Linked DNA regions of Canis lupus familiaris. The protein of the gene in region 1 interacts with the protein of each later gene in a biochemical or structural test. Links are inferred from orthologs where the notes say so. Each region holds a gene or a part of one and is shown on either strand. Other genes may lie near its edges.

Region 1 (4,070 bases):
GGATGCTGAGGACCCCAGGGCAGGGGCCTGTCATCACACTTAGAGGTGGAGGAGCCCGAAATGGAAACCACACAGTGGGGATTTTCCTCCCCTGGGGATCTGTGCCCATGAAGGAGGGTCCCAAGGAGAAACGGGCTCGGATGGGGTACTCCAGGGGACTGTGGCCTCCAGGCTTGAGGGAGCGGTCTGTCCTGCAGTGACCCCCTCCCCCTGTGGTTGCCAGGCCTCTGCCCCAGCACAGTGGCATGTGTATCCATCCCTTATACCCTCAGGCTGAACCTCAGGGAACAATGACCCTCAGAAACCCCATCTGGGGGCCTGCCTTCACCCTGCTTCCTGAGCCCTGGGCTGTGACAGGCTTATACCCTGGGCACCTGCCCTCCCCCACCCCCGCAGAGGAGTTACAGTTCTCTGGGGCCCAGATGTTCCTGAAGCAGCCCCTCCTCCCTTACAGTCTCTGAATGGGAGGTGTCCTGAGGCTCATCTGGACCAGCCCCTGCCTGCCCCCCACTTCCCCCAGGAGCTCCTCTGATGACTGTCAGCCCCGTCCTGGAGGTGTCCTCTGATGGCTTTCAAGACCCGGCAGCTCCAGGCTTTGCAGTTGGCTGCTGGCACTCATCTCGGGGGGCTACTCATCTCCCCGCCTTGTGCTGGGCCTGGCAGTTTCGAATGCACAGTAGGTGCTTGGAAGGAGGCACAAGCAGAAGGGACACTGCCTCAGCTTGCCCCCCACCCAGGACCTCTTGTCCAAGCAACCTCCTTACAATGTCCTCTCCTCCTCCTCCCAGGCTGCTCTGTCCTTGGGGAGCCCTGTCCCCACAGCCCAACTCGTACAGGAGAAGCCTTGCTTTCTCACTTCTTCACTGGGCGAATAACAGTTGAGAAAGATGCCTCAATTGTGGCCCGTTTGAGATTCCTCAGGCACTTCTGGTCCCTTCCTGGGGCCATCAGCCTGTCTCTGTCCTGGTGCCTCTGGTCCCCTCCCCGAGTCCCTGGTCCCTGTGTGCCAGGGTGGAGTTTCCACGTCCCACCCCCTCTCCTGCCCTCAGGCTGCCTCCCACCACACCCTGCTGTGCCTGTGCACGCTCCCTCAGTGTGTATCTCTCTCTCTGTGTCTCTGTTGTCATGTGGCCCCTGTGCTCCCTACCCCCGGGGGCAGCCTTCCTCCCCTGTGGCCCCTCAGGTGGGCTGAAGGCGGGGATGCCCCCTCGGGCTTCTGCAGTAGGATTATGCTCCAGCTGCCCCTAGTAGTGGCTGTGGTGTGGGCACCCCTGCTCCGGCCGCCTCCCTGGCCTGGCCTCCCGCCCCCACCCGCTCCCCGTGCTCCCCTTCCCTACTTGGTTCTGGAAACCTTGTCTCTGGCTCTGTTTCTGGGGCTCTCAAGCTGAGACAGTGTCAAGGCCTCCTTAACTCTACTTCCTGCTTCCAGCTTGGCCCTTCCCTTGGGGCTGGGAGACATTCCTGCCTGGTCCCATTGCCACACCTTGGCTAGAGCTGTCGCCATGGGCCCTGACCCCTCTAGTGTCCTTGGCCAGCACTGCTCACCTGTGGCCCTTCTCTCCCTATGACTCATCCCTTTTAAGAGCCGTCCTTGTCAGCTGCGTCCGCAGGCCCATGCCCCCAGTGGCTCACCTAGCACCCCATCGGGATGGGTGTGAATGGTGTCAGGTTTCCCAGCCACAGGCTGGCTGGCCCCAGACTGAAAAGTGGCCTCCATTTCTCTGCTGTGCCCTTCCCACCCAACCCCGCATAGTCCAGACCTTCACAGATGCTGGTTGAAAAGATAAATATTATTATTTACAGCAGCCACCCCCTCACAGCTGACACCTTATCTCCCAAGGCCTGGCTCCAGTGGCCCAGTACTCTGGACACAGGAGGGTCCAGTGGGGGCTGCTGATTGCCCCGAGAACCAGTTGTCTTGCTCCAGGACACTCAGGCAGAGAGGATCCAAGTCCCCTGCCCCTTCTATCTTTGCTTAGCTAATCATGCTGCTCCAGAGGTCATCCAGGCACCAGAAACCCCCTGTACCCAGTAGAGAGGCTGCCCCAGATGCCAGACCACTGACACCAGCAGGCAGGATGGCCCAGAGCATTCTCTGTTCTCTAAAAGGGAGACTGGCTTTGGCTGGGGCACACCCTGGTTCTTGCTCACAGGACACTCCATCTCCTTCCAACCCCCACTTCCCACACAGGGGGAGACACCAGGGGCAGGAGGTGACACATCAGGGTGTGGGTATTGTGGGTGGTTAAGGACCGGGGCGGGGGGCTGAGTGGCCTGCAGGGCATAAAGGTCCAAGGGTACAAGGCAGCGAGACAGGGCATTTCTGATGGCAGTGCCACAGTGCCAGATGAAATTATGGTGGCTTGGGAGGATTTCTTGTGGTGTGGCCTACTGTCTGATGATGTCACCTGGTTTCTAATGACATGGCCAGGGCTTTCTGGTGACCTGGCTTTGGTTCCCACTGGTATTAGAAGGCATTGCCAACACCCAGAGGCATCATCACGGTGGTTGGGATGCTGTCACAGGAGTTTCCCATGATGCTCCTAGGGCAGCAATTGGTGCCTTGCAGTTGCTGAGGACAGGCCCCAGGTCTCCAGGAGGCTGGCCATCTTGTGCTCTGGGAGAAGACGCCTCTTGGAAGGACCTCTGTGCTGCCTTGGATTTTCTGGCTGGCCATCTCCACTCCATTCTCATTCCATCTCCGGGGAGGACTTGGGGCACAAGGGAGCCAGAGGCCCTGGGCCCAGCCCAATCCTATAGGTTATTTCCCATTCATCCCATGGCCCAGACTATGGCTGCTCTCATAGGCCTAGAACTCCTGCTCATTCCGGGGCCGGGGGGGTGGGGTGGGGCCCACGCTGTCAGTGCCAGATGCTTCTGGGGATACAGATTGTGAGAAGGATTTGGTCCCCTCCATAGATAGGGCAGCTGGCCAAGCCTGGAGACCATCTTCCGCTCCGTGGCCCTCCAGCTCAGACTGCCGTGGACTGCTTGATACTGTGGAAGCTGACACGGGTGGGAGAGGTGGGGATGGACATGGCGCGGGCCACGCGGGCACGGATCGAGTGCTTGTCCTGCCATCGATGCCACCTCTTCCGGATGGCAGAGCGGACCTGTGGGCACAGAGCAGAGCATGGTGTCTGAGCCTGGATCTCAGGACTCCCTTCCATCCCCTAGGGCTGCCACAAGCAGCAGTACACGTGAGCAGTCTGCAGGCGTGCAGTACGCAGGTGTGAAACGCAAAGGGGGCCACACAGGAGGAGGTGCCATGCATGTCATCAACATTATTTGCCTATTTGTTAGGATGATTTTTGCAAGTATTCTGAGAAGAGAAGACTTTTTCCCATCCACACAGAGGCACCGATGGCCTTTGCCACAAAGAATTCCTACCTTCAGCACATATGCATGCCCTGCCCAAGGGCTTAGCCCTTCCTGTTTTCAACAAGCATTTTCACAGACTCATCGATGGGACTGAAGCCCTGACTTCTGACTCCCTGTGCCAACTGCCTATGGGAGCAAAGCAGTGGGCTTGCCACTATAGGAGCAGTGTGGGCAGGTGTCAGGGGCCCTCCTGGGGCTCCTGGCTGCATCCTCATTAGGGACCTGGGGGCAGGGAGGAGGAGCTGGCATGTGGAGGGCAGGAGGAGGCTATAGACAATCTCAGGTCCCAGAAGTCCCCCACCCCCCACCATCCTGAGCTCTGGGGCCCCGGCATCCTTACCTCACTGTTGAGGAAACAGTAGAATACAGACACAAAGAAACCCTGGGGTGGACAGAGAAGGCGGGTCAAGGCACAGGGACAGGTATGGCCCCACCTAGCCTCCGGGCCACCCCCTTCCTCTCCACAGCCTCCACCCCTCCAGACCCTTGTCTGAAAGAATCCCCACCCAAGCAAGTGCAGAGCACAGCCAGGGCCAGAGTGAGGGGTGGGTGGCAGTACCTGGAAGGATTCTAGGAAGGAGTTGAAGTAGATGAAGATGACCCGGGAGACCTCGTCCTCCCCGGGGTTTACGAAGAACAGCATGTACGTGATGCCCAGGAGGGGAAGCAGCACCAGAGTGGCCTTCACA
Region 2 (4,538 bases), on another chromosome or scaffold:
CCCCCTTAACTGACAAACCTAAACCCTAGGTCACATGAGGAAGGCGCTTAATCAGCAATGTTGGAATAGCCTGCGATGCTGGCAGTGACCAGGGCTCCCTCACCTGGGTGTTACAGAGGCCCACACCACCCAGCTCGCTGGGTACTTGCAGACCAAAGGCCCCCAGCTCCTTGAGGCCTTGCAGTGTGGTCTCCTCCACCTTCTCCAACGTGTCATTCTTGGCAGGATCGTTCACTTCCTGGAGAAGGCACAGGATGTCGCATCCAGGTTCCTTTCTGGCTGCTGAACACCTCTGCCATCCCATCAGGGACCAAAGCCCTCTGTTCCCCCACCCCAGTCCTTCCTCACCTCAAAGAAACGGGACACAGGCCCCACCAGTTCTTTGAGAAACTGGGTCTGCTCCTCACTGAGTACTGTGGGGGAGAAGGACAGGCTGGTCAGGTCACCGGGGAAGTGGAGAGGCCCTGCCCTGCCCCGCCCCGACGACTACTTACCAGATGGGTAAGGGAACACCTGATCGGTGGTGAGCTGACCCTTGAACATCCCCGCAGCAAAGGACTTGGATTCCTGCTCAGGGAGAAGGGGGTTTCAGCGAGCTGTCTGCTGCAGTGGGTGAGCCCCTGGCCTAGGTCCTCCCGGTATGGAGGCCACGTACCGCCTTGGCCTGCTTCTCTCTGGTCGGAGCCTCAGAGGAGTGGGAATCTGACTTCTCCAGAACCGCCTGGGGAAAGGGACAGTTAGCGAGGCCCGGTAAGGGACTCCCGAGGAGCTGGAGACCACGGGAAGCGCTGGGTGCGGGCGGAGGCGGACGCAGCGACCTTTCCCCTACTTCCATCGTCAGGGCACCCTGGCCTGCCCTTTCCCCTACTTTCGGCGCTACCGCGGGCGCCAGGTGTCCGGGACGGAGAGGGAGACCCCTGCCGGCGGCGGGGAAGGGGGAGCCGAGGCGGACTCCGCCTCCCGCTCTGCGCGCCCCAGGCCGCCGTCACTCACCTGAGCGGCCCCACTGGCATAGGGTCGGCAGGCCGGACCGGGCAGGGGCTGCCCCAGGAGCGCGCTGGGCCGCGAGCTGTGGGGAGCGGGGGCTCAGTCCGGGTCCCCGGTCCCGCTGCCACCCCGGCCCTGCCCTCCTGTCCGACTCGCACCTTCCGACCCCCAGCCTCCGCAGCTGCCGCCCCACGCTCGGGGCCATCCGTGCCGCCTGCATCTCCCAACCACTCCGGTCGCCGCGGTCCTGAGCGCAGATCTAGCGCCGTCCACCCGTCTGCCAAAGACTGGCTGCCCTGGTCCGGTCTTGACTCATCGTCCACAATGCACCGGGGGGGCTGGGCTTCCGGCCGCCAGCGCATGCTGGGAGATGTAGTTCCGGGGCGGGGCCTCCCCCACCCCGCCCCTGCATTCTGGTTAACGTAGGGCTATCTCCAGACGTTTCCGTCTCTCCCAAACGCCTTCGTCCCACCCGGCCCAGCTCGAGTGTAGCCCTCGGAAGGGGCGATGGGATAGGCTGGGGTGGAAGGAGGAGCAGCTCAGGCTTTTGCAGCCGGAGGGATGGAGGGTGGGCCAACAGGAGGACTTCCCCGGTGGAGTTGGAAGGGAGAGGTGGGAGAAAAAAAATGTAAGACGGCGGAAGCAGGGGCAGATGACTCTATGGAGTCCCTTGTGAAACCCATCTCCATCAACACGAGAGGGAGGGACATGGTGGCGTGGGGCGGCCCAGGTATATTCTCCTGAGACCTGAGGTGTCACTAACTTTAGAAACACCTGAATTCTCACCGTAGGGCCCTCCCCTCCCTTCCCCTCTGCAAATTCACCGCCTCCCCATTGGGGCGCTGGAGTCTCTGCCCTTGTTTCCTCCTGAGACTGTGTGACATCCTGGACTCTTCCCAGGGGGAGTGGAACTGTAGGGATTCTTCTGTCGCCCACTCTCACCACACACACCTAGCTCTGGGTCAAGGAGTCCCAGGTCATGTATAGGTCATGTATACCCCTGCCCTGCTGACACACCCAGTGGGGAGAGGCCTGGGCTGGGGCTGCAGGAGCCTCCTTGGGGACACCCCTCCACCCCCACCCCCGTCCCCAGTGCCCAGTCCCTCTGGAAAGTGCAGCAAACTCACCCCTGGCTTTGGGAAGAGAGACCATTGTGCCAGGCGACCCAGGGGGTTAGGACAGGACTGCCCACTTCGGTGGCTAAAGGCTAAAGGCTGGAACCTGGTGGGGAGGCAGCTCAGCTCCAACCCTGGGGATTAGGGAGATTAAAATCAGAGAAGAGAGATGTCCGAGAGACCCAGAGGTGAAACTGGAGAGTCCCATGGAGGAAAGGCCTGGGGGCGGAGCCGAGTGGGGCTGGGACTTGAGGACCCTCCTGCTGATCCTTCCCCACCCCACTTAAGCCCAGGGAGAGGGGACAGGCTAGGGGAGGTGAGTGAGCCGCGCCTTGGTCCATGGGTCTCTTCCCCATCCCATTCCTCCCTCGCTTGCATTTCACCAGCTCCCCGGTCAGCCCTCTGGCTCCTGGCCCCCCCACTGTTGCGATGGGCGCCCCCTCTCTTGGCTGTCCTGCACAGTGACCTCTTCCAGGCCCTGCTGGGTGAGTAGCCCTGATTCTCTGGGGACGCTGGGGTGCGAAGGGCTGGCCTGGGCCTGCCAGGGCAGTGAACACACTTGGGGGACTGTCCGGTTGGCAGCCAGGAGGCCCTAAGGTGCCAGCAGCAGTCAGGGCAGGGGTGGGGGCAGGGGAGCCCCCCCAGGTGGGGTGGGGGAGGGTAACTCAGCTGTATTCTGGTGACAGACATCCTGGACTATTATGAGGCTTCCATCTCAGAGAGCCAGGTAAGGGGGTGAGGTGGGGCGCCTCCCCAGAGGGGCAGACAGGGCAGGGGCCGAGCTGCCGCCCCACCCTTGGGGGCCTTGAAGACAGACTTCTGAGCCCGGGGTGCAGAGAATCCCAGACTCCACGGTCCTGTTGGTCCCTTTCCCCTTCTGCTTCCCCGCCCCCCTCCTCCCTTGGCCCCAATTTCGGGCATAAGGAGTCCAGCACAGAATTACTTCTCATCCTTCCTCCTGTGCAGCCTGAGGGAGAGCTGCCCCCCCACCGGACTCCCCCCTGCCTGCCCCCCCAGACCCCCCCTCCCGCCAGCCAGCACTGCAACTAGCATGGGTGCTGCCAGCCCCACAGCGGGTGCTTCCTCTCCTGAGACCCAGGAGGCCTCCTGATCTCTGGCGCTGGTGCCTGGCCAGGCCTCCATCTTTGCCTTGGGGCCTGTCTGCCTCCGCTCTGCTCTCCTCTCCCATTATCCGGGTTCCTGCCAGCACTGAAGCAGTTAACTCTGCCAAGGCACCCCCCCATCCTCGCTCCTCGCTCCCTCCCTCCCTCCCCCTGCTTCCTCTCTCCTCCTCTCTCCCCTTCCCTCCTCGGCTCCACGGCTCCCTCGGCCGCTGCCGCCTCCAACCCCCCCACCCCACTCCCCCGCCGCGGCCCTAGCCCCTGGCCGGCAGGCAAGACCCCCCCCCTACCCCGGGGCTCCCTGAAATCCAGTTCCCCTCCCCCACCCAGCTCATGCCCCAGCCCCCGAACTCCGGGGCTGCCAGCCCCCGGTGCCCCCGCCCCTCCTGAGAATCGGGGTGTGCTCCCCAGGCCCCCTCCCCTCCACTGGGGACTCCCTTCTAGGGCCCCCTTCCCCTCCCTCCCACGCACCCCTCCCCTTCCCTTCTCCAACCCCCTCTTTCCCCTCTCACCCCTCCCCCCATCCTGGCCCCCCCTGCAAAAGTGGGGTGCGGAGGGGGGAGGGGTGAGAACCCACAGAGGGGAGGAACGAAACTCCGATGAAGTCAGAGCCCCTTACCCGCCGCCGCGGCCAGCCCCCCCAACATGGACTGTCTCTGTATAGTGACAACCAAGGTAAGCACGATAGGGGGGCTCTCAACTGGGGGGAGGGTATGAGTTTGTGGGGAGGGGTTAGGCAGGCCTGATCTGGGGCTGGGGGCTGGGAGTGTACTGGGGGGTCATGATTTACTTTGGGGGTTCACATTTGAGATCATGCTAGGTTTGGCCACAGGTGCCCCCTGGAGTGATCTCTTTGTACCTGTAGAGAAATGGAAAATTTGGGCTGTTTTGTGGTTTGGGGGGGCTGATGGGTTTTGGGGTTCACCAATGATGTTTGAGGGAGACTTATTTAAGGAGAAGCCTGGCTCACATGGGAGTCCTGCTCTTGTGCATTAGAAGGTGGACTGTGTGAGGGGGGGTTCTCTTCCCTCCTGAGGGACAAACTGGCTTCTGGGTGTCTCGTCCAATTTCAGGGGGCTCTTGGCATGGGGGTAGACGGTTATTGGCTGTGAGTGCCTGACTGGTCTGGGGGTGTCAGCTGGCAGAGGAGGGGTGGGCCTTCAACCTATAGAGCAAGCGTCTTGTGGTGGATACATTTGGGGGTACGCTCAATTACGGGGAACTGGGAATTCAGGGTTTGGTCCTATAGAGCGGGATAGTTGGGAGTTGTCAGAGGGCTAGCGCCTGACACAGGATCACCTGAGGGAATGGACCA
Region 3 (4,766 bases), on another chromosome or scaffold:
GATAAAAGGAAGGAGTACAGAAAAAAATGAGGAAGAAAACCAGAAACGAGAGAGAAGAAATGAAATACCAATACCAATGAAATGAAAAGAATGCATATTATACGCATGTACACATATGATTGATCTCTTAGTAATATGTTGAGAATAAACATTTTTTTTTGTTTTAGCAAAGGTTTAGGGAAGAGGATTGTTGAAGAGTCAAGCTCCCTCACAAACTAGCTTTGCCTAAAGTGGTAACTTCCCTGCAAAAACGTATTCCTGACATCCTCTAACCCCAGCTGCTCTCCACCTAAATGAACAAAACTGTGATTCTCAAAACCTGCTCAGGTAGCACAGTAGCAAGAAGCCGCTAGAACTCAGCGAAGAACACCCTGAAATTGGGCTATCTATATTAGAGTAACTACACACATAATTTCTGCCAATCAGAAAACTCACTTTATCCTAGATTCTGACAAAAAAGAAAAAGAATCAAAAGGTTAAGAATCTTTCTGAGAGTGAAACTTGGAAATGTGAAAATCCAATACATTCACTTAATCTGACTACCTAGTTGGGAAAAGTCAGCCACTTCAGAGGACACCAGAAACAGTTAAAGGCAATGAAATTAAGCAATGCATCCATCACACGAGGAAGTATTTAAGCAATTCTTTTAAAGCCTGCTCTAGGTTGGCGATTTTTTCTGTAAAGAATAAGAGAAAGGCAACATACTTTCTTTCATACTTTGAAGGCTATGTATCTGTGTCTCAACTATGCAACTACTCAACTCTCCCACTGCTGCTGTGAAAGGAGCCAGAGACAGTAAGAATCCACCACACACAATACTAATGAGTGTGGCTGTGTGCCAATAAAACTCTACTTATAACAGCACACTGAGATTTGATTTTCATATGATTTTCACATGCCATGATATAATATTCTTTTGATTTTTTGAGCCATATAAAATTGCACAAACCACTTCTAACTCCTACGCTTTAGGGGAAAACAGGCTGCTGCTGGCCAACTTGGCCTATGACCCATTAACTTTAGAGACCTCCGTTTTAAAAGACCCTAACATGGTGGCACCTGGGTGGTTCATTGGTTTAGCGCCTGCCTTTGGCTCACGGCCTGATCCTGGGGTCCCGGGATGGAGTCTCACATCGGGCTCCCTGCAGGATGCTTGCTTCTCCCTCTGCCTATGTCTCTGCATCTCTGGGCGTCTCTCATGAATAAATAAATAAAATCTTTTTTTTTTTTTAAATAAAAGACCCTAATATGAACTGAGCGAGGATATAGCTCAATCTAGAAAAAAAACCACGTTTGTAAACTAGCTCATTAGCTAGCAGGAAATCTGGGCAGCCCAGACAAGATTATCCCCACCACCCTCTAAACCCTCTTAGCTCCTCCTTCAGGCAAAGGCACCAGAGCATCCATCCAGAGCTTTACGTTATATTAATAGCTCAAACCTAGGAACGGGAAGTTTTGTTTTTCTTAAATGCATTTTTTTAACCTAAATTCTATCAGGCGCTCAAGTATATACCAAATATAGATCATGTGACCCTTAAAAAAAGTTCATTGTAGTCACCCATACTAAAGTCAGCGTGTAAACACTCCCAAGCCCCAAACCATCACCTCGTTGGTTTTTCAGATCACGGGGTTTTTTGGTTTCTTGTTTTGTTTCGTTTTTGTAAAAGGCAACCTAAATGAGAAGAAATGCCTAGGGAAACACAGAGGGATGTTTACAGCACAGCTGTCCACCAAGGCTGGGTGACAGCGTCTAGTCACTTTGCTGAGTCTTCCCCTCTGGACATCCAATGAACATGGAGAGTATCGACCTACGCTGAAGTCACGGTCCTCTCGTCTGATGCTACCGAAGCAGCACTAGCTGCCACCGCACCCTCCCCGCACCACACGCAGCGCCCACGCTCGGGGTCCGGGGTCCGGGGTCCGCGCCAGCCCAGCAGGCTCCGCAAGCCCCACCCGCCCAGCTGGCGTCCCCCCGCCCCCGCCCCCGCCTCGCCCCCGGCCGCGGCGCAGCGCCCCCCCGCCCCCCACCCCCCGCCGTCGCGGGGCCCCTCCTACGCGAGGCAGTCCCAGCCTGCATTTCCATGTGATCTGCTGGAAAGAATAGCCCGGCCTTTGTGCCTCTGCAAAGAACGCAAGCAAAAATTTACACCATCACCACCCCCGACACACACGCACACAACTCCCAGGACACAAAGCGTCTGGGAACCGCGCTCCCCGAGGCACATCCGGCACCCCCGGCTGCGAATCGCAGACAAAGGCGGCCCGTGGGCGCGGGGCGGCCGAAGCGGGGGGCGAGAGCGCAAGCTCCCCCCGCGGGGGGCAGGGGATGAAAGGGCACGGGCGCCGCGGGGGACGGGGGCGGGCATCAATCAGCGGCGCGCTCGGGGCCGGCGGCCAGGGCCGGAGACGCCGGTCTGCGGGGGGCGGGGGGCGGGGGCGGGGGGGGGCTCTCTCCGCACCCGCTACGCGCCCCGCACCGCGTCACCCCGGAGCGGGCGTCCGGCCCGGGGCGCGGCCACGCCGGCGGCGAGCAACAGGCTCCTGGGCCTGGGCCGCGGTTCCCCCTTCTGGCACCATCCCCGTGCCCCTCCAGGCGAAGAAAAAGAAAAAAAGAAAAAAAAAAAAAAAAAAAAACTTTTAAAGCATTTAGAGTCAGCAAGGGCAAAGGCGGGGGGGCTGGGGGGCTGGGGGGCTGCCCGGACTGGGGCTGGAGCTCGGGGGCCAGCAAGTAGCCAAGGAAACTTCCAGCCCCCATCCTGCTAGAGCCGGGCCGCCCGTCCGCGCGGGGTGGGGCGCACGCACCCCGCCCGCCGAGCCCCGCGCCCGCGCCCGCGCCCGCGCCCCGCGCCCCGCGCCCCGGACCGGCGCCCGCGCACCTCCCGGCCGGCGCGCGCAGAGCTCGGGGGCGCGCCCGGCCTCCCCGCCTCCCGGCCCGGGCCCCGGCGCCGCTTACCCGGCTGGCGGCGGCCGCCCCGGGCGGGGGCGCACAGGGGAGGAGGGCCGGAGGGCCGGGGAGCCGGGGAGCCGGGGAGCCGGGGCCTCGGCGGCCGCGCCTCTGTCCCCGCTCGCCCTCTTCTCCGCTGAGTAACGGCCCGGCGAGGAGCTTCGGGGTAGACGCGCACCGACACTCGCGCGCCGCCGGGAAACTTAATCCCGCCCGCCCGGCCGGCGGCGGCCCGACGCCAGCCTCCGCTCCGCCGCGCCCCCTCCCCCGCGCGCCGCACTTGCGCCGACCGGGCTGCCGCGGAGGAGGCGGCGGGGCCCGGGCTGCCGGGGCTGCGTGACGCCTGCGGCCGGCGGGCGGCGGGCGCGCCTCGGCCAATCAGGGGGCGCGGCCCAGCCCCGGGTCCTGGGTTTTAAACCTGCGCGGCGGGCGCTCGGCCTGGGGTGCGGGGCGCGGGCTCTGGGACCTCGCCCGGGTGGGGCTGGGGGGGGCTGGGGGGGCACGCGGGGCGCCCGGTCGACCCGACTGCCCAGGAAGCAGCGGTGATTATGTTGGCCAGACGTGGCCCCTGGGATGCTTGGGACGTACTTACACTAAAAGAAATGCTCCTTGTTTATCTGAAATTCGAATTTAACTGGGGTCTCTTATGTTCCTAAGTCTGGCAACCTGTGGGAACTGGTAACCCCTATTTCTGGTTTTGAGGACTTAAAATTTCATTATGTGGACTGCCTTGTGGATGCCGTCTGTATGGGTAGCTTATTTAAGCGGTTATGGGATGGTGATGAGAAGAAGCGCTTTAACGATGAGGCATGGGGAGTGGAACTAATGACCTCGCATTCTAAGTAACTTTTAGAACGTTACTGTGCTGCTTAGACATATCCAATTAAAAGACAGAAACAATATACATAAAAGAAGGGTTCAGAATTGCATGGTGCGAGGAAAGACATATTCATCTCTATTTTGTGCCGCTTAAGGTTGTGTTTCTGATACCTTCAATTCCTGAGCCCCAGGAATCTTTTCTGCAGAAGAAAATCCCTTCCTTTCTCAATACGGACATCTAATATTAGAATATGGGTGGCTGAGCGGTTTAGTGCCTGCCTTCGGCTCAGGGCGTTGATCCTGGGGTCCTGGGATCGAGTCCGCATCAGGCTCCCTGCGTGGAGCCTGCTTCTCCCTCTGCCTGTGTCTCTGCTTCTCTCTCTCTCTGTGTGTGTGTGTGTGTGTGTGTGTGTGTGTGTGTGTGTGTGTGTGTGTCTCATGAATAAATAAACAAAATCTGTAACAACAACAACAAAAAAAGAACATACATTAAAGGATACTCAGAAGTCTAACTTAAAATGTTTAGAAGAATTTCTTTTAATATCCCGAATTGAAAGTTCTGATTTCTTTAGCAGACTTGTAAATTTTTTTTATTTTTTGGTCTACGAAAAAAAAGTCAATTCTATTTTTCAAATATTCACCAAATATTTAAGGGGAAATACGGTTTCAAAACATACGAGGCCCCAGAGGGAAACTGAGTTGAGCTTTAAATGAATATTTTCAGAAGGCTTCAAAATAGATCAGTTGCCTGCAAATGACTGGGAGCAAAAAAGCCAAAATGCCTTGGGTGGAGAGAGTGCCCCCAGCCTGAGACCCGTTGTGCTTTCTCAGACGTAGGCATCGGTGTAGATTTGCCCGCTAGGGAAATAAAAACACTGACTAGATTTCTTTAGCATCTGTGGATATTCATCTTCTCTGGGTCCTTTGAAAATGAAGGTGAAGTTAGGATGAAGGGAAAACTCATCCCTTGTATCTTCAACACATCTGTGTCTTGGGTAACCTT

The links. The genes of interacting proteins can lie anywhere in the genome.
Region 2: the proteins of CRHR1 (region 1) and DLG4 form a complex in vitro, tested with the Homo sapiens proteins (2 studies listed by BioGRID and IntAct, with this or other methods). The link is inferred for Canis lupus familiaris from reciprocal best matches to the Homo sapiens genes CRHR1 and DLG4.
Region 3: the proteins of CRHR1 (region 1) and MPDZ form a complex in vitro, tested with the Homo sapiens proteins (2 studies listed by BioGRID and IntAct, with this or other methods). The link is inferred for Canis lupus familiaris from reciprocal best matches to the Homo sapiens genes CRHR1 and MPDZ.

What each region holds. Positions count from the first base shown.
Region 1 is NC_049230.1:17,152,735-17,156,804, reverse strand, and holds part of CRHR1 (corticotropin-releasing factor receptor 1), read right to left. Parts: coding exon 3,941-4,070; intron 3,764-3,940; coding exon 3,722-3,763; intron 3,114-3,721; coding exon 2,973-3,113; 3' UTR 1-2,972.
Region 2 is NC_049226.1:32,392,749-32,397,286, reverse strand, and holds the start of DLG4 (disks large homolog 4), read left to right. Parts: upstream 1-1,422; 5' UTR 1,423-1,548; coding exon 1,549-1,717; intron 1,718-2,392; exon of another isoform or gene 2,393-2,488; coding exon 2,489-2,587; intron 2,588-2,788; coding exon 2,789-2,829; intron 2,830-3,711; exon of another isoform or gene 3,712-3,868; coding exon of another isoform or gene 3,869-3,898; intron 3,899-4,538. Other genes in the region: ACADVL (very long-chain specific acyl-CoA dehydrogenase, mitochondrial), read right to left, coding at 104-238, 349-413, 495-567, 656-721, 994-1,069, 1,146-1,207. UniProt on the Homo sapiens protein: Postsynaptic scaffolding protein that plays a critical role in synaptogenesis and synaptic plasticity by providing a platform for the postsynaptic clustering of crucial synaptic proteins.
Region 3 is NC_049232.1:33,907,546-33,912,311, forward strand, and holds the start of MPDZ (multiple PDZ domain protein), read right to left. Parts: upstream 3,117-4,766; 5' UTR 2,954-3,116; intron 1-2,953. UniProt on the Homo sapiens protein: Member of the NMDAR signaling complex that may play a role in control of AMPAR potentiation and synaptic plasticity in excitatory synapses. Promotes clustering of HT2RC at the cell surface.